Linked DNA regions of Yarrowia lipolytica. The protein of the gene in region 2 purifies or fractionates together with the protein of the main gene of each other region. This does not show direct contact. Links are inferred from orthologs where the notes say so. Each region holds a gene or a part of one and is shown on either strand. Other genes may lie near its edges.

Evidence for each region.
Region 1: the proteins of YALI1_D35148g (region 2) and YALI1_A22157g purify together in Saccharomyces cerevisiae (affinity purification with mass spectrometry, with the first as the bait; 3 studies listed by BioGRID). This does not show direct contact. The link is inferred for Yarrowia lipolytica from reciprocal best matches to the Saccharomyces cerevisiae genes ECM16 and ENP2.

Annotation. Positions count from the first base shown.
Region 1 is NC_090770.1:2,210,001-2,220,331, forward strand, and holds YALI1_A22157g (uncharacterized protein), read left to right. Parts: upstream 1-5,701; coding exon 5,702-7,786; downstream 7,787-10,331. Other genes in the region: YALI1_A22105g (uncharacterized protein), read right to left, coding at 1-482; YALI1_A22111g (uncharacterized protein), read left to right, coding at 1,045-2,670; YALI1_A22129g (uncharacterized protein), read left to right, coding at 2,860-3,471; YALI1_A22137g (uncharacterized protein), read left to right, coding at 3,698-5,464; YALI1_A22192g (uncharacterized protein), read left to right, coding at 9,168-10,331. UniProt on the Saccharomyces cerevisiae protein: May be involved in rRNA-processing and ribosome biosynthesis.
Region 2 is NC_090773.1:3,510,638-3,520,968, forward strand, and holds YALI1_D35148g (uncharacterized protein), read left to right. Parts: upstream 1-4,092; coding exon 4,093-4,353; intron 4,354-4,461; coding exon 4,462-7,983; downstream 7,984-10,331. Other genes in the region: YALI1_D35119g (uncharacterized protein), read right to left, coding at 42-1,235; YALI1_D35126g (uncharacterized protein), read left to right, coding at 1,902-2,225; YALI1_D35143g (uncharacterized protein), read right to left, coding at 2,415-3,566; YALI1_D35190g (uncharacterized protein), read left to right, coding at 8,298-9,524; YALI1_D35210g (uncharacterized protein), read right to left, coding at 9,695-10,279. UniProt on the Saccharomyces cerevisiae protein: Probable ATP-binding RNA helicase. Required for 18S rRNA synthesis. May play a role in restructuring of the pre-rRNA.

The DNA.
Region 1 (10,331 bases), on a different chromosome or scaffold from region 2:
ATACTGCCTCCTTGTTCAATTTTTTCAGGTGTATCTGAAAAGATGGGTCCCCGGTTCTTTTCGTTATTGAGATTCACATCAGCCAGAATATCCCGCTCCTTCTTGCCATCATTGGCAAAGAAAATGCGGTACCAGTAATACCCAATAAAGAGTAGCGCAAGGTTGAAACAGCCCAATCTGTACAACTTCACCAGTGTGCCAATAAGTCGCTTGTGGGTGTATCGCTTGAGAACAGACTTATTGCTCCACCACAGAATCGAAAACAGTTGCTGGAAATTGGCCAGTGTGAATCCTCCCACAGCCATGGACAGAAACAGCCGCTCTTCTCCAGACAACCGCTTGAACCACTTTCCAAGTGAGATCTTTCTCTTTTTCAGGGGTGGGAAACGCACCGTGGTTCCTGTGCCTTGAACTTGTCCCTCTGTGACCAGATCGCGCGTGATCACAGACAACAACGAGAACTTCAAGTAATTGTCGTCCATGGCGTATGTGTATGAGTATGTGTGTGTGTGGTTGTTAAAGAGAAGTTGGTTGAGTTGTGATCCAAGGTTTAGTGTCGATGCTTCAGGGGTGTCTGTTTGGTGATACGCTAACAACCGAACTTGTGTGGGTACACGGTACGAGAACTCCTGGCCGTGGTCAAAATACGAGTACAAGTACTGTACCGGTACAGTACTTGTATTTTATGCTGTTTGTGTATGCAATCCCACCTGTATTCTGCTGCAGTTCACTGCGTTTTTCGTGCAGAAAAGTGGGGTATGCCATTATCACGTGTGGATTTTTCTTCGGTATGTTTCAGAATCTAAGAATCCAATTTTGGGGACTACTTGTAGTAGTTCACGTGACTTACAAGGTGCATCATGCCTATTTTCTTCGGTCGACTTCTCAACTCCATACACCATTTCTCATACTCTTGCTTATCGCAGATCACTCATCCGCACCAGAGCATGCGGCACTGAAAAGCCACCCTACTCTGTGCCGTATCAAAAGTTAAATGTGTCGTGTGCGTTATCTTTTTCATCTACAGAGCACACGGCGCACACCATGAAACGAGCTCTTGCTGCTGTTGCCCTGACGGCATTAGCGGTGGTTTTGATTCGAAACAGTCATAGTGGCGACTTCACCACCATACTCACGCGCTCAGAGTCTCTATCGGATGCGCCACCATTGAGACAATCGGAATTTTCCCCTCCAGCGTTTAATGAGTCAACCTACATTTTCAACGCTGTCCACAACCAGCTACGGCACGTTGGAAATGCTATGGCTCCTAATGGAATGACGTTTACCCCGGGATTCGTGCCTCCGGGAACCGTTCTATATCACGGCATGAACAGAAAGGAACTTCCGCAGGACCTTGACTGGTTCGCCTTTGACCCAGAGTATTCCTTCACAATGTGTTGCAACATCGGGCATGCCTTTGGTAATCCCCATATTACAACTGCCCAGGTGGTGGAACCGCTCAAGATTGTATACATTGACGGTGCCAGTGCGTCTCTGTCCTCCGATCTGGGGACCATGGACTCTCAGGGTTTTCTTCTAGACGATCCCATCGACACCTGGAATGACTACACTGAGTTTGCACGAGGTGATCGTCTGTGCAGACTTTTCAAGGAAAATGGCTTTAAGCTGGATGGTTTTGTGCGTATGAACACGGGCTTTGAGCTCCTAATGTGCAACATGACCAACCCCAAGGTGGAGTATGTCATGAACAATGCCATTGCGGTCAGTGAGGAGGAAGGTACCGCTGGCCTGATGAAGCGAAGTAGCTTTGAAGTTGGTCAGACTTTCTTGTCGAGAGACAGATTTGGCAATCTGCTGGTTCGTCCCTCTCGAGAATTCAACTTCTTTGATTATGACTGGGTCAAGAGCATGGAACGTACTCATTCCAGTGCAGGGGAAGAGCGGGTGGAGCTTGATTATCGGGGACTGGTGACCATTTACGGCATGGAGGGCAGCCGAGACATCGATTTTCCAAAAAATGTGTCTCAGCATCGACTGCTCACGGGTTCTGAGGCTCTGAGACAGGAGCTAAGGTCGCAGCTTTGGGAGGCAGACAAACACACAAGAACCTACGATCCGTACAGAATCAATTGGAGAACGGTGACGGACAACCTTGTGTACAAGATGGCGCCTATTTTGGCTCAGATTAAAAATGGGCAGCTGGAGGCTGGGACCAGCTCTTTGAACGATACGTCCAAGCATCTTGGTGGTATCACGTCCATGTTACGACTGAGATTTGAGGGTGATGAAGAGCTCGCTAACAGTACAAGACATGATGTTGATGCTCAGGTTGAACGATGTGCCAAAACATACGCTTCTGACTTCCATAAGTACGACGTCACGCCTTTTGAGGAAAAAGTGAGGTTCGCCATCAGACTTGTTTCCACTGCAGTGTGTTCTGTAATCATGGAAACTGCAGATTGGGCAAACAAGGTACAGACTCGTGTCGGCAACGTTTCTGAAGAGCTTCCATCTAAGTTGCATGCTGACGTTTCGGATCTGATATCTGATCTCAACTGGTCCTATTTTGTTTCTTGTACTCATCGGTGCAAGGACAACGAGGTCTGCTATCTCCCCACCTGGCCCCATGGAGGTCGAGAGCCCCATATTCCGGCAGAGCCTCTTCAGTGTAGAACCATTGAGGATCTCAGGAAGAGTAGAGGGCTGTAGGTTGTGTTTTATAGCAATAATTATTTTCTGATTTATGCTGTTTGTCAAGTATCTTTCAAGTAATTATGTTGATTCTCTTATATTCTTCACTTTGTTGGTTATCTCTCCTATACAATTTAGATTCGCGCGCATGCAGACAGACAGACGTTATCGTCATGAAACTTCCACCTCCCCACACACCAAATCACCATGGCAGCACTCATCATTGTGGACTTGCAAAATGACTTTCTTCCTGGAGGCTCTCTTGCTGTAGTCGACGGAAATGACATCATACCCATTGTTCAGAAACTCGCTGACTCTGGCAAGTACAAATTTGTGGTGGCCACCAAAGACAGTCATCCCCAAGACCACACATCGTTCGCCGCCAACCATGGAGCTGAGCCGTTCACCTCAATCACATTCAAGCACCCTAACTCAGACAAACAGGTAGACCATACCGTGTGGCCTGTTCATTGTGTGGAGGGTACTTCTGGGGCAGATTACCCTCCTTCATTCGACTCGTCCAATGTGCAGGCTCTTGTTCGAAAGGGATACTTGCAGGACAGAGAGTATTATTCTGGATTTGAGGACGTTTGGGGCATCCACAAGACAGAGCTTCATGACCTGTTGCAGCAAAATGGCGTTACGGAGGTTGACGTGGTGGGACTTGCATTTGATTATTGTGTGTTCAATACAGCTAAAGACGCTGCCAAACGCGGCTATAAAACCACAGTCATTAGGGAAGCCACCAAACCTGTGGATCCTTCTTCTGAAAAAAAGATTGTTGCTAGTCTTGAAGAGGCTGGGGTTCATGTCGTCTGATCCACAACCCAAACCGACTGGTGATACTGCTGCCAGTACAATACTCGCACTCCGATTGACTGCTCAAATATGCAATGTACAGTACACTGTGTGTATTTTCGTCTCTACATTCTCTTTATGACGGGTCTTTTGGGGCTCACTTTCTACAGTATATCCTAACACTTTTGTCTCTTTTTTACACAACACATACCATACAACTCTCAACACAAGACTCTGTTTGTTTATCATGGACGCCCTATACACTGCCTTCAACTCTGGAAAGCTGGAACCCTTCGTCCAATCTGTGTATAGAGATGGAACCATCGACCTCTACGCCAACAGTGAAGCCATCTGTCTGTTCTCAGGGAGAGAAAATGAGCCTTACCTAGACAGCTTTTTGGGTGGTATCTGTCTTCGATACAGCTGCAACCGGCTGATCAACGAAGGACCGTGGGAAGACCGTCTGGAAGCTGCCAAGCAGATGGTCCAGATCCTCACTCGTCACTATAAGACGCCCATTATCGACTCCAGTGTTCTGCTGAGCATGCACTCCGTGTTCGATACCATGGTCTCTCTGGGTGAGGAATGTTGCGTCTCTTCAGGCTCAATCGACTTTGTGCGCTTCGGAAGAGTCTTCCATGGCATCACGCTGGTCTACATTTTCATATCCGAGCTCAACCAGGCATTAATTTCTATTCCTGACTTTCTGATCCAACGTTGGGGAGCACTCAACCTACGGGCCAACGCCCTAGGCATTTCTGTCCAACCCAAGACCATGACCAAAGTTCTAGACGAGTCTCGAGGTCTTGTTTTGGGCATGCCTGTGTCCAATGGAGATTCTGCTACTGCCCATTACCTACTTTCGCGATTCGGAAAGATCTCCCAGATACTGACAGGACTCCAACAGTCTCCAAAAATCAGCCTTGGTGAGATATTGAGCTTCTGTGCGTCAGAACCTGACCTGCAGTTCCTCTCTCTCATGCTTGTTCGTCAAGACTACTACGAAGAGCTTGTCGAGCTGCTGGAGAACCCTGATGAGGAGATTGTGGGCATGACGACCATTCTTATGGTTCGTGTTGGTCTCACAATCAGATTCATTGACCCTGAGGAGGAGCTGCCAAGCCATCCATGTGTCCCACGATACTCCACGGGTTCTCTCACCCAACAGATGGAGTTTGTGTTCCAGATTTTGGACCGTCCAGACCTCTTGTCGGCCAAAATGAACTCTTCTAACCCCCATCACACCTGGATGGGTGCTCTGTCTGCAGTGGTGACTGAGTGGATCGCCGCTGATAAACCTGAGGAGGTGTACGGAGCGAACAAGAAGTTCTATGAGCTTGATCCCCCTGTATCACTCATTTTTGCGCTGTGTAGACTCCTCTACCTCGTTTGTGAGATGAATGGGGCTGGAAATAAGGATCTTGTCATCGGTAACATTCTCTCCTATGTCTCTCCTCCATCTCCGCTTCTACCCTCCAAGGTAGAGCCTATCAAGTTGGAAGACAGGTACCTTCCTTTCCAGCTGGGCGAGTTCGAGGGCACCACGATGGCTACCCGGGAGAGAAACCACGTGATTCTCTCTTTAATTGGGGTCATTAGACTCCAGATTGAATACACATACTCTTTTATTCGCGAAGAGATTGACAAAGATCTGATTAGAGTGCTCTTTTCTGGACTCCTGGCAGCCTATTCCAACTGCGTTATCCACGAGGAAACGTCTTCTATCGAGCTTATCATGTCCACTTTCAACGGTTGCATCCAGGTCTTCCCGTCTGGAGGTCTGATTCTTGTGGAACTACTGGCTGAGCTTTCGCAGCAGTCTCTACGGTTTGTTGGGGTATTTGCCACCGTGTTCAGCAGGTTCTATGACAAGAAGTACTTTTACGGGTGCGAGTTTTACTTCAATGACTTCCTTAGACGTTGGGGAGACACGCCGTCTTTTGATATCACACAGCTGCGTTCCAAGTTCACTTCTTCCTTGGAAGATAGAGCCACTGTTTCTGGAAGTACTTAGTTACGGTCTTGCAGTATATTCTCTTCTTTTCCTATCATTACCATTTGTCAATAAATATATGCCGTTCAAGATCGATCTTGTAGCTAGTTTACGTAATCATTTTCACTTGAGAAGCCTATTTCAGTAACCTGGTTTAGGGCTCAAATATGCATGGTGAGCCTATTTGAAATTTTTTGGCAGTAATCTGCAGAGGGACACAAAAGTTCCAAGGTATATCACTGACGCATCAACACCACAATGGTCCTTCGATCTACACCTGGAGCCGTTTCTGTGTACCAGATTTCTGGTACAAACTCTTCCAGATCACTGCCAGAATGGCTGGCCAAGAAGCGAAAGAAGTCTCTCAAGAACGATGCCGAGTACTCCAACCGAATCGAGCTGATTCAGGATTTCGAATTTGCTGAGGCTTCCAACAAAATTGAGGTGACTCGAGATGGAGGATATTGCATGGCCACCGGTACTTATAAGCCTCAGATCCATGTCTACGACTTTGAGGATCTCTCTCTCAAGTTTGAGCGACACACTGACGCTGAGAATGTTGACTTCAAGATTATCTCCGACGACTGGACCAAGAGTGTGCATCTGCAAAACGACCGATCTATTGAATTCCAAGGACAGGGCGGAATCCTGACGAAATCACGAATCCCAAAGTTTGGACGAGCGCTGGCTTACAACGACGAAAACTGCGACCTGTATGTTGGAGCTGCAGGAAACGAGGTATACAGACTGAACCTGGACCAGGGTCGGTTTATGGCTCCCTTTGAGCTCAGCAGTGCCGGTGTCAACTGTCTGGACGTTAACCAGGCCCACGGTCTCCTGGGTTTCGGTACTGATGCTGGTATTGTCGAATTTTGGGATCCTCGAAGTAGGAGCAGAGTGGGTATGCTGGATGTGGGCGCTCCCGGACTGGGTGGCGGTGCCACAGCTCTCAAGTTCAGAAACGACGGTCTGAACGTGGGTATCGGTAACGCTGACGGTATTGTTCGTCTCTTTGATCTGCGAGCGCCGGAGCCCTATGTCACCAAGGACCAGGGATACGGTTTTGGCATCAAGAAGGTGCTGTGGGTCAACGACGACCATGTGCTGTCTGCCGACAAGCGAGTCGCCAAGATCTGGGACCGACGAACCGGAGACGCCTACACCTCCATTGAGCCCACTGTGGACATTAACGACGTGGCACACATCCCCGGTTCCGGTATGTTCATGTTCGCCAACGAGGGTATTCCTATGCATACTTACTACATCCCCAATCTGGGACCTGCGCCCAAGTGGTGTTCATTCCTGGAAAACGTCACCGAAGAGCTGGAGGAGAAGCCCAGCACTTCTGTATACGACAACTACAAGTTTGTCACCAAGCGAGAGCTGGCGGCACTCAACATTTCACACCTCATTGGCTCGGCCGTGGTCAAGTCGTATATGCATGGTTACTTCATTGACCAGCGGCTCTACGAGCAGGCCAAGCTCATCTCCAACCCTTTTGCTTACAAGGAGCACCGAGAGCGGGAGATCCGAAAGACTCTGGAGAAGGAGCGGGAGTCGCGTATCCGAACCTCTGGAACTGGAGCCATTGCATCCCGTGTCAAGGTTAACAGGGCTCTTGCTGAGAGACTATTGGCTGAGTCTGAGGCCGAGGTCACTAACAAGAAGAAGGTGTCTGCCAAGGAGACTTCCAAGGCTGCTCTTTCCGACGATCGATTCGCTGGCATTTTCGAGAACCCCGATTTCGAGGTCGACGAGAATGCTGCAGAGTTCAAGCAGCTCAACCCTTCGCACAAGAAGGTCAAGGGCCAGCAGTATGGTGAGGCACCTCTGCGAACTACTGCCCGACCCCTTACTGCTGCTGAGGAGGAGGCCATGGAGGAGAATAACGGCTACTCGTCCGATGAGCACGTGGAGGCTACTGATGAGGAGCCCGACTCTGAGGATGAGCGAAAGGCCGCCAAGAAGAAGGCTCTGGCAGAGAAGCGGGCTGAGAAGAAGGCTGCTGAGCGTGCAGCCTTCCAGGCCAAGCGTGCTGACAATATCAAGATGACTACGGGCTCTGAGGCTGCTCGAGAGGAGATTCCCGATGACGACTTTGCTGACCGAGTGGCTGATCTCGAGGCTGAGGAGGACCGGCACGTCATGAAGAACGTCAAGATGTCCAAGGGCGCTGGAGGAGCCGTGGAGATGACTTTTGTGCCTCAGGGAAGAGGCAAAAAGGGTCGTGGTCCTCGACCCAAGCGAGATGGAGATGAAGAGGAGGCACGGGACACTGGAAAGAGCAGACAGGAGTATGATGGTCGACGACGGGCTGGCAAGAACGCCTTCCGAGGTATGTAAGAAATGCATAATTAGTATAGAAGCGAAAGGATTCAAAGTATTAGTTCGAGAGATTATGTAGATGATGTAATGAATGCAGTACGAGTGTATACAACTGAGATACCGGTACTGTACTTGTACTGTAGCTACTCGAAAGACGCAGGAAGACACCGATGCAAACGCTTATTCCTACTCGTACTCGTACTATGATAGCACTGAAAACTGTATCAATTTGTCGTAACCGTGCCGAATGGCTTGCCGCACCATTTATTATCTCGCCGCACACCATTATCATGCTCCAGATCCTGTCACGCTCCACTTCCCGTAACTACCAGTATGTGTACATTCCTCTGCGGCTCCCCGTCCACCGACCGCAGATAAGATGTATGGCCACTCACCGGCTAATGAAATCGGTAGTTTGCTCATGCTGCCTTGCGGAAAAAAATGGTGAACACTAAACGGAGACTCCCTTTTGATAATAAGGTGTTTGGCGTATAGAGATACGGGTTTTGAAGTATAAGAGAGAAGAAGTGTAGGTTGCTGTATTTGGATCTCCCCAAGTCTAGTCGTATCACATCTGACTGTCCATGACGTGCTCTACAGCCATTTCTTCGTAGCTCTTCTTTCTATGCGGCTCTTGTTGAGTTTCAACGGGCCCCGCATGTACACTCCAGCCAAACTCAACTGTTGTGTATACTGTAGGTATGGTATGGTATGAAAGAACCGCCTGAGAGAGGTCTCGGGTTCCCATGCACGTGACGCCGCAACACAACGGTTGCGTTTAAGTTGGTGTCTTAAGTTTGGGCCCGAGTGGGGAAGGTCCTACGGGGCCACATAGCGGTTGGATGGCTTAGTAGTGGTGTGTCATCCTCCGGACCACTGATTTCTGCGCGCCCAGAAACGTCAGCAGCACACCACCCGCTTGTCGGCATGATTGCGAATAAACAAGTTAAGAGTTTCATTTAACGGAGCGAGGGCTGCTGAATGCACAGGAGGATAACGCAATGCTGCGCACACATTTTCGGCACGCAACCTAGCAGCAACTGTTGAGACTGCTGTGAGTGGGTCTGTTTAAGGGTTTGTGTGTGTGCCGGCTGCATGGGGTTAGGTAGGCCAGTGTGATTCAGCCTATACACCCGCGCCACACACGTAAAACTGCATCTCTATCTTCTTGGAGACAACGGGAAGCTGTCAACCTCAACTTGTTTGTCGGCCTTGCGGCGCTTCTTTTAGCCCTGGCCTTATAAGGTAAAATAGGGTTGGGCAAGCGGCTGGAATTACTCCGCGCCGCACGGACCTTTAGGGCCTTCGGCAGCAGTTTGGAGAAAGCAAAAGCCCAGAGCACACGAGTGTGGTTTGCACTTGTTTTGATTTTGGTCTGAAAAAGTCCCTATAACCCTACATGTCTGCTCAGGACGAACGCTCACGCATCCCCCCAATTTCCTCCCAGGCCGATTCCGCCCTTCTCAATCCGCCTCACTCTGCTCTTCAACAACAACAATCGTCTTCCAACGGCACCAGTAACCAACCAGACTCGTCAACCATGACGGACACACGAGGCCCGTTGATGACGCAGGAAGCCCGCGATCGCGAGACCCAAAACAGCCTGAAACCACATCCGCAGTCGCAGTCGCTCTTCAACAAACCCCAGATCGCACCTGTGCTCACTGAAGCTGCCTCAGGCTTGCGCCCCGACACCAACATCAACAGTAATAACAACAACGCCTCGTCGCATACTTCTCATACGACATCGCTCTTGTCAGCAGCAGCATCAGCTCGAGGGCCCGATGGATTGATCGCGCACATCAGAAATGCTGCACCCCCAACAGCGGCCATAGAGTCCTCGCCATACTACTCTTACCCCCAACCACATTCTCATATGAAGAACCATCCGCATCAGCAGCCTCCCGCAGCTCCAGGTATCTTCCCCCAGCATCCCCAGCATTCACCACCCCACCCACAAGCCCATCCTCACCAGCACCAGCCTCCAGCACCATACGGTTATGCCCCTGGGCGTCTGCCTCCTCCAGGAATGCGACCCCCCGCCATGGGCTACTACCCGTACTACCCGTACTCGGCCGATTTGCAGCGAATGCCTCCAGTCGACCAGGGAGACGCCTCACACCCCAAGCTGCCACGTATTAACGTCGACCCTCGTGTAAACTCGCCTGAACAACGACCCTACCCCGACTACGCGCAGCAGCAACCTCAACAGCACGCGCCTCTGCAGACCAGCAACAATAACAATCGCGCGCCTCCAGAGCAGGCGTCCACAGCTTCCGACTTTGGTGGCGACAGACCGCCACCTAAAAAGCGAGGCAGAAAACGAATTGAGGTCGCCGAGGTGCTGGCTAACAACGACCTGAGCCACTGCTCGCCTCTGGGAGAAAAGGAACTCGAGGCCGACCATCGAAAACACAAACGGCCCTCAAGACCTCAGGCTGCAGAAACCACTACCGGAGAACGGCAGTACCCATGCACCTTCCCAGGATGTGAATGGTCATTTGTGCGAATTTCCGACCAACGACGCCACCTGAGATCGCACCAGGAGCCGCTGTTTGTGTGT
Region 2 (10,331 bases):
CCAACCATTTTTTATCGATTGTGAGAGTGTCAGAGACTGATTTAGTCGAGTCGTCGTCGCTGGTTCTGCAGCTTGATGTTCTCGTACTGCCGGCCATCCTTTCGCCGTCGCTGGTTCTTGAACTTGGGGATGGCCCGAGCTCCAGCAGTGATCTGTGTGAACAGGACATAGATACAGGCGAAAATGACGACAACAGAGGGGATGGTGATGATGGTGATCATCATGCCCTCCTCGTTCTTGTCCAAATCAAGTCGTCCCTTGTCCTTCTTCTGCACGATGGCACCTCGTCGGAATCGCACAAAAGTAGAGTTCTTCAGAAGATAGTCATCGGTGATCTCGTCGTCATCCATGTAGTCAGGCTGGATAGCAACGGCAACCTTCTGCTCGTACTCGCCATCGAGCCACTCCTCCTCAATCTCCATAGGGTAGACTCCCCAGGTGTTTGACACCCATTCGGTGATGTGGAAGACACTGCTGTCCTCAATTTCTCGCTTGTGCAGAGCCTTACCCTGAATGTATGCGCAGTGGAGTCGGACCTTCTCGGCGTCGGGGAATTCTCGGGTGTACCAGGTGAACCAGTGGACGTGATCAAGCATGACACCCTTTCCGTATTGAGGGGAGCACCAGGGGCCAACTCGCTGCTTCTTCACCTTGATAAACTTCTCGGGTGTGCATCGCTCAACAGGGTTGAAGGAGGCCTCGATGGGATCCTCCTCGTCCAACATCTCATTGTGGACCACGACATCAGTAGGGTGAGCGGTCTTGTAGCCAGCAGAACGAGCGTTCTCAGTCACGTCTCGGTTGACGTGGAACCAGTCTCCATACTCAGGAGGAGCATTCTTAGTCTTTCCTTTGACCACCTTGGGAGTGATGGTCTTGGCCTGACCGTCCTTCTTCAGCTTGATCCAAGGGTTGGGAACAGCACCCACCTGTCGCTGGCCTCGGAAAAGCGCGTCTCCCCAGACGGTGGGGGTGACATGCATGGGTTCACCTCCATCTGTGGGCTTCAGCAGCCACGGCTTGGTCACATGGGCCTTTGTGATTTTAGTTTTCTTGGAGAACACCTTGGGGGGTCGCTTAAAGGGGTCTGCTCGCTTCTCGAGGTCAGACACGTCTGTGGGCTCGGATCCGGGCAAATCTGTGATGGTCGAGTAGTCGATGGCTTCGGTGTTTACCACGGTAGCTGTTGGCAGCGCCAGAACGGCTCCGGCAAGAAGAAGTACCGAGAATTTCATTGTTGTGTACAGTAGTGTTACACGTGTGTTGAGGCTATGCGATGTAGCGTGCGAATGCGGGTTTGGGGGGCACTAGGGCAGATGCTGAGCTCAAATACTCTTGTTTTCAACGTGTTTTTAGGCGGTGGCGAAAATGGTCGTGACTTCACAGGTGTGTTAGGAAGACTGTTGGAGGGTGATGTGTGTTTTTAAACCTGATGCGTGATTTAGCTCAAAAAATGAGATACATGAAGTATAAGCAGAATGTTTGTACGGCTGGGAGGAGAAACGGGTGAAAAGTCGGGCGTTTGGAGGCGTAAAACGTGCGTTCGAGCAGCAAAAATGTTCATAACAGTGAATCAACATATTAAACGCCCTCAAACGGTCAATAAGCATTATATTCACGGACTTACCGCCGCCTCGCTTTCGCCAGTCGTATCTCAGTGTTACGTTTCCCGGACTTGTAGAGTTCTGAGCCTAATCCAGGTTTTTGGTGGCACCCAAGTCTTCTCCCAAACACGAGTATTTTCCAGCATATGCAGATTTTCCTAGGACCGTTAAAAATTAAATCCGACGGAGATAACGCGCCCGCAGAAACTTTGAGACGCACAGTAAGCAGAAAAAGTTAGTGGTAGACGACTGGCACAGATACTGAACAAAACAACCACTATCAATCACACATTCACCATGGCTGAACAAATAAGAACCAACCTTGTTCATCAGCATCTGTGGAGCGACGTGGTCATCCACCAGACTAAGCTCACAGACCTGGTGCATGGAACTCCACCCAGGACTTTGCACCCTGATGACGCTGAGATCAGATCGGAATGGCTAGTACCTGCCAGATCCAACGACGACTGGACTATCAAGCAGTGGGACGAGTGTTTTCGCGAGGCTGAGGGTGTGGCTGGAAAAGACGTCGATCGCATGCTAATGGCCATCGTGGACAATGACTCCACCATCGTCTACTACTTCGTCTACAAGGGTCTGGTCAAGCCTCGAAAGAACTAGATTCACAACTATTATACACCCTGTTCCGTTATGATCCCGGTCCAGGCATTATCACCTTGCATTATAAATATATGTACATTACATGAAACAATATGGTCTGGGGCATAGTAATGTAGCACCCAGTCAGCCAGAAGACCTGTAGCTCGCGGCTTAAATAGGTCTTGACTGTAACATCAACTTCCATCTTTGTCACTCCAAAAACACCATGGATTCGTCAATCACAGGGCTCAGTTTCACATTGCCACTGTTAACCCAACGTCTAACAGATTTCTTCAAAACCCGTCCTCCCAGTTGTACCTTCTTGGCTTTTTCGTCGCTGTAGAGAACTACAGCATGCATTTCTTTGAGTGCTCGCATCACATCTTCCGGCTGGATATAAGTATGTTCGCTGATCGTCTCAATCGTGATGACGTCTTCTGTACACTCTATCAAGATGAACCGGGCTATCGTAGTACACCAGTAAGACATATATGATAAAGTGCCGAACTTCGACAGCGGTCGCTCTGGACTTCCTTTACGGCCTTCGTACTTCGACAGCACGTATGAAAACTCGATCAGCAGTTTGCCCAGCCCTCGCCTTTGATACGGAGGAAATACCAGAATGCAAGCCAGATTGTTTTCGTCCCACGACAGTTTCTCCTTGGAGAAGAAGCCCATGGGTTTAAAGTGCCTGCTGCTGGCGGTATCCTTGCCGAGCACAACATAAAATTCAAAGGCATCGGCGCCGAAGAACACAGACTTGTGGTCCAGGAAGAGCTTCGCGAACAGACAGAGATTCTGGCAGTAGAGCTTGTGAACGGCGCCATCAACACGGCGAATGGCATAGTCTTTCGATTTGTAAACCGTCTCTCCGGGGTGCTTGAACACATACTTGCAGGTGCTTCGGTGTTGGGCCATGTCCTTGGAGACCTTCGAGTATTTGAAACACGAGTCGCAGACAAACAGCTGTTTGACCTGGAAGTCGACCTGGGCTGGTGGTTGGTCATTGGGGGCCACAGATGCGTTTGCTGATGATCCAGAGGACGAAATGGTTGAGGATGTTAATGCAGAAGAGGTTCCTCCAGGTGTGCCAACAGACGGAGAGCTGTAGCGCTCAATGAAGAGCCGGGACATGTCGCAGGTGTGATTGTCCTTGTCCTTGTCGAGGGCCTTGGCCTCCATCAACGCCATGGCCCGCTTCCAGGTCAACTTCTTGAGTTCGTCCTTCTGTGAAAAATAGTATGCCGACGAGTGGTACCACGTGTCGAATTCACGAGGGCCAAAGACCACCCGTCCAATGTTTCGTGGAGGCTCTTCTTCCTCCTCATCGTCCAAGGGGTCGTCGTGCATTAGTGTTGGCATGCCAGGAGAAGATGTTGTCTATGTTGAAGGACTTCGTTTCTCGTCACCACAGAACAGTCATGCACGCTTCAACGTCGCGCTTAAAGACCCATGAGGCGGATGTGTAATAGATTACTTGTAGAGCAATTACTAACGAGAATGGTGTATAACATACTAGGGCTCAGTGTGCACACTATGTAACCATCATTTAATATAAATGTGTCTCTTTTAATTACACCTTTCATTTTTCTACTGAGACCACCTCACTTGCGGCTCGTACTATTTTCGCCCCTCAAAAATCGATGCCAATTTTTGGGAACCAAAATTTTATTGTTTATAATTATGTGAACTGCAGTTTGGTTTATAACTGAGACTCTCAAAGAAAAACATATATTACGTGAACATTTACTTCAAGTTATTATAGAAAAAGAACCTGTCTCCTCCCAACAGCCACATCACATGACCGCGCATACATCATGCACAATCAGAAAAAATTGGGCAATATAGCATAACCTGCGTGAAGCTGATTCAACCCATCGCTTCAACTATGGCGAAATACAAGCTAGGATACAACGCAAAGGCCCGAGCCGGCTCGCTGAAGAAGCAGCAGGAGCTCAAGGCCGCCAAGCAGAAAACCTGGGTCAAGAAGCCTACAGCAGAGGAGGAGGAAGAAGACGCCAATGCCGAGCTCATGGTGCCCAAGAGTGAGGCCGAGAAGGAGGCTCGAAAGAGAAAGCTCCAGGAAGAGCTCACACCTACGGAGAGCAAGATGACTTCAAAGAAGCGAAAGCGTCTAGACAAGTACATTGTGAGTATGACACGAGGATACGTCGCAGGTTTAGCTTAACCAGATTAGCTGAACCAGATTAGCTGAACCAAGGACATTCGCTGCGCTTATGATTACATACTAACTCAGGAAAAACAACTCAAGAGAGAAGAGAAGAAGGCATTGTTTTCCGAGTTTGCTGCTCGAAAGGGCACCTTTGATACATCTCAGCTCAAGTCTATGAAACACATGGGTGACAAGGAAACCAAAAAAGCCCGGATCGAGGAAGCTTTGCGTCTGGAGAAACTGGGTCTCGGTAATGAGGAGACCAAGGAGATTCTGTACGAGAAACACGATCACGAAGAGTGGGATGACGAGAAGCATTCTCATCTCCTGACTGAGCTGGAGCGAAAGGAGAAGCAAATGGCCGAAGAGGAAGAGCAGGAGAACAAAAGCTCATTCATTGACATGCGACCCAAGGCTGGTGGTGGTTTCGGTTTCCAGAACCTGGCCAAGGTTTCCAAGCCCGCAAAAAACTCTTACTCTTGGCGAAAGAAGCTCGAGATTGAGCGTGCTCGAAAGAACAAGAAGGACTACGTTAGCTCCGGGGAGGACGACGATACCGATTCTGATGAGGAGGATTCTGACGAAGATTCAGACGAGGATTCGGATGAGGAGTCTGAGGAGTCAGAAGAGGAAGGCACCAAAAAAGTGAAGGCGGCTGCCGAGGAGGAGATCGAGGAAGATGTCGAGGAAGAGGAAGAAGATGAAGACGAGCAGGAGGAGGAGGATGAGGACGAAGATGAGGACGAAGATGAGGACGAGGAAGAGGAAGACGAGGAAGATGACGAGTATACCGAAATCGTCACCAAAAAGACAAAGGGTTCTTCTTTCAAGGAATGGATCGATGAACAGTCTGGACCCAAGTCTTCCAACATCGAGGATCTCTCGCATATCAAGATCAAGAAAGAAAGAGTGGACAGAGACGAGGACCGCCTTACTCCTCCTCCCGAAGACATTGCCCAACCCGAGTACGCCAAAAGAAAGGCCTTTTATGTCAACGTTCAGCGAGACCCTGAAATCCAGACCTCCCGAATGAACCTTCCTGTCACCGGAGAAGAACAGAGAATCATGGAAGCCATTTTCAACAACGATTGTGTCATCATCTGTGGTGAAACTGGTTCAGGTAAGACTACACAGACTCCTCAATTCCTGATCGAGGCGGGTTTCGGAACGAAGGGTAGTGACTACCCTGGTATGATCGGTGTCACCCAGCCTCGACGAGTGGCCGCCATCTCTATGGCGCAACGTGTTGCTAACGAGTTGGGTAACCAAGGTGATAGAGTTGCCCATCAGGTGCGATTCGATGTCACCGTGAAGGATAATACAGCTCTCAAGTTCATGACTGATGGTGTGTTGCTGCGAGAACTGTCCCAAGACTTTGCTCTTACCAAGTACTCTGCTCTGGTAATTGATGAGGCCCATGAACGTAACATCAACACTGATATTCTCATTGGTGTGCTTTCTCGAGTTCTCAAGTTGCGAAAGGAGATGTTCAACGAAGGCAAGTGCGAGTCTCCCCTCAAGCTCATTATCATGTCTGCTACTCTGCGGGTTTCCGATTTCACAGAGAACAAGACTCTTTTCCCAGTTCCTCCTCCTGTTCTCAAGGTTGAGGCCCGACAATATCCCGTTTCTGTCCACTTCAACAAACGAACAACTTACGACTACATGGACGAGATCTACCGAAAGACCTGCAAGATCCACAAACGACTGCCCGATGGTGGTATTCTGATCTTCCTGACTGGCCAAAACGAGATTGTTAACGTGGTCAAGCGGCTTCGGAAGGCCTTCCCTGATCGAACTAAGGTGTGGCGGCCCAAGGACAAGTCTGAGGATCTCCAGGTCAAGGTGTCTGCCAATGAGACTGTAGTGGAGGCCGAGGAGGTTGATTTTGGCGCCGATATGCGACAACAGGACTATGCTGCTGTCGAGGGAGAGTCTGAGACAGATGAGGAGGACGGAGAAGAAGGTTTCGAAGAGGAGCTTGCTGTCGAGGAGCGAAATGAGTCTGCTCCTCTGCACGTGCTTCCTCTTTACTCTCTGCTGCCTACCAAGGAGCAGATGAAGGTGTTTGAGGAGGTTCCTGCCGGCCATCGACTGTGTGTCGTTGCTACTAACGTTGCTGAAACTTCGCTGACCATTCCTGGTATCAGATATGTGGTTGATTGTGGTCGAGCAAAGGAGCGAAAGTACGATGAAGAGACTGGTGTTCAGTCCTTTGAGGTTGATTTCATCTCCAAGGCTTCTGCCGATCAGCGAGCTGGTCGTGCCGGTCGAACTGGTCCCGGTCACTGCTACCGTGTCTTCTCATCTGCCGTCTATGAGGAGTTCTTCCCTCAATTCTCCATCCCCGAGATTCTCCGATGCCCTGTTGAGGGCATTGTTCTGGAGATGAAACACATGGGTATTGACAAGGTGGTCAACTTCCCCTTCCCCACTCCCCCCGACAGACAGTCCCTGGCCAAGGCCGAGAAGCTGCTGGAGTACCTAGGTGCCCTCAGCAACACTGGTGTTATTTCTGATATGGGTAAGCAGATGTCTCTGTTCCCTCTGTCCCCGCGATTCGCCAAGATGCTCATTATTGGTTCTCAGCTCGAGTGCCTGCCTTACATGGTTGCCATTGTTGCTGCTCTCACAGTTGGAGATCCCTTCATTGGAGAGCACGAGCTTGGCATCAATGAGAAACCACAGAAGCCCAAGGTTGAGGAGGTTGATGAAGACGGAGACCGGATTAAGAGCAACGAGTCTGACTCCGAGCCCGAGGACATTTACGAGATTGAGCGAAAGCGAAAGCTGCGATCCAGCTACCATAAGGCCCAGGCAAAGCTGGCCTCCCTGGACCCTGCATCTGACGCTCTGAAGCTGCTCTCTGCCGTCTGCGCCATGGACTACGATTCCGACCTGGAGAACTTCTGCAAGGGCTTCTTCCTGCGACACAAGCTGATGGAGGAGATGCGAAAGCTGAGACAGCAACTGAGCCGAATCGTTGTGGCCAACTCCGACCCTCGAGCAGCTCCTATGCTCAAGGAACAGTTGAATGCCAAGCTCAAGCCTCCTTCTAAGCTCCAGATCAAGGCTCTCAAGCAGATGATTGCCACTGGTTTTGTTGACCAGGTGGCTCAGCGTCTGGACAAGGTCAGCGAGGACTACAAGCTCACTTCTCGAGAGCGAATCATCAACGTTCCCTACCAGACTCTGTTCCCCACCTCCACCACCAACAAGAAGACTGACGACCAAGGAAACCCTCTGCCTGACGACACTCAGGTGTTCATTCACCCCGGATCTGTCATTAACACTATGGGAACTCATCCTCCCGAAATGTTGGTATTTGCTTCCGTCAACCGATCGGGATCTTCCAAGCTGAGAATCAAGCCTCTCTGTGATATCACATCTGCCCAGATTGGCAACATTGCCAAGGGCACTGCTCTACTCACATACTCCAAGCCCCTGCCTCCCCCCTACGGCCCCAAGATGATCACCAGTACCTCTCGAGAGTGTTGGGTGGTTCCTCGGCTGGGAGCTGCTATTGGCTCTGGAGGCACTGGATGGGATCTGCCTCCTATTAAGGTGAAACAGGAGAAGAAGGGTAGCCAGTGGGTTACCTTGTAAAAATTGCCATAGCAACAAACGAACAAAAACCATAGCATGTTTATATTGTATTAGATTTCTTCATAATTTTAGGGAAACACACTGTATCTTCACTTCGTAGCTACAGCACTTACTAAGCACTTTTTACATCCTCGGTAAGTAATTAGGTTTGTGCATCCATACCCCACATAAAGTTGAACATGAAAGAAGGGAAGACTGATTTGCCCCCACAGCACCAGACAACCAGCAATACGGCGGTTGATCATTGTTAAGCCAAACGATTGGAACCTGATCATATCATATCAACCCAAAACGACCTTTCCTCACGACAAAAAATGGACTACTTTTCGTCACTCAACGCGAGCCAGCTGGATCCTGATGTGCCCACACTGTTTGAGCTTCTGTCTGCTAAACAGCTGGAGGGTCTGATTGCCCCTTCGGTTCGATATATTCTTGCATTCTACGCCCAGAGACATCCGCGGTATCTACTGCGAATCGTCAACCGCTACGACGAGCTGTACGCGTTGTTCATGGGTCTGGTGGAGTACTATAATCTCAAGACATGGAATGCCAGCTTCACAGAAAAGTTCTACGGTCTGAAACGAACACAGATCCTGACGAATCCCGCACTGAGAACACGCCAGGCCGTGCCGGATCTGGTCGAGGCTGAAAAACGGCTGAGCAAGAAGAAAATCTGGGGATCACTCTTTTTCCTCATTGTGGTGCCATATGTGAAGGAGAAGTTGGATGCGCGATACGAGAGACTCAAGGGCCGGTACCTAGCTAGGGATATCAATGAGGAGCGAATCGAGATCAAGAGAACAGGTACGGCCCAACAAATAGCAGTCTTCGAGTTTGACTACTGGCTTCTCAAGCTCTACCCCATTGTCACCATGGGATGCACCACTGCCACCCTGGCCTTCCACATGCTCTTCCTCTTCTCCGTCACGAGGGCGTATAGCATTGATGACTTCCTGCTTAACATTCAGTTCTCTCGAATGACCCGGTACGACTACCAGATGGAGACCCAGAGAGATAGCAGAAACGCTGCTAACGTGGCCCATACCATGAAGTCCATCTCCGAGTACCCCGTTGCAGAGCGTGTGATGCTGCTGCTCACAACAAAGGCTGGAGCCAACGCCATGCGATCTGCTGCTCTTAGCGGCCTTTCGTATGTGCTTCCCACTTCTATTTTCGCCCTCAAGTTCCTTGAGTGGTGGTACGCGTCTGATTTCGCTCGACAGCTGAATCAAAAGAGACGAGGAGACTTGGAAGACAATCTTCCGGTGCCAGATAAGGTCAAGGGAGCCGACAAACTTGCGGAGTCCGTGGCAAAGTGGAAGGAGGACACCTCCAAGTGCCCTCTCTGTAGCAAGGAGCTGGTCAATCCTACAGTCATTGAGTCAGGTTATGTGTTTTGCTACACTTGCATTTACCGACATTTGGAGGATGGAGACGAGGAGACAGGCGGTCGATGTCCCGTGACTGGCCAGAAGCTGCTGGGATGCAGATGGCAGGACGATGTATGGCAGGTGACCGGTCTGAGACGACTGATGGTGTAACGATACATACTATAGCATAACATGTACATTTAAACGCATCTTTTATCTTTATGCGACAGGGCGTGTTTGCGCGCTTCCCATTGTAAAATTACAGTACATTGTATAACTTATATGAACCTCCTGTCGAATCTCGACCTTTACCTTTTGTTTCCGATTGTATTCTCCTTCTCCTAAATTGGCTTAATCTTGAAATGCAGACCCACCAGAGAAAACACCAGGGCCTTGATATCCTGAACCAGATAGTAGAACGTCCGCAGACCTTCGGGGTCGTCCGATCTCTGCACATCCGACAAGGATCCTATTCGACCAGTCTCGAATGCAATGTGGTAGTTGGCAAATTTGATTTCCAGCTCCTGTTTACCGTCTCTGTTCTTTGGCGGCCACTTGGCATCGTTTTCCTTGAGGATTTCCGACTCTTTGATCATCTTCTTGAGCACCTTGACCACCACTGGTGAAACAGCCACTTCTCGACGGATAAGAGTGTCATTCTTGTAGTTCGAGTTGTTGGCGTATCGCAGCAGCGCAGATCGACCCTGGTCCAGCAACTGAAAGTCGAATTCCAAAAACTCATGGCCAAATCGACCCGTGTGGCCCGAGTAGTATTGTAGATAAAAGGCTTCTTCTTTGGCGTCTACCCTCAGAGAGAGGGGCTTTTCGATAAGATCATCTTCAGGCTCCACTACTTCGAGCTCCTCCTCCATCTGCACGTCCTCTCCGGGACGCGTGGCAATGCTGTATTCCTCTTCTTCCGCCATGTTGGATTTTCGTTTCTCTGTTCACGTCCTCGTTTGAAGATGTCGTGCAGTG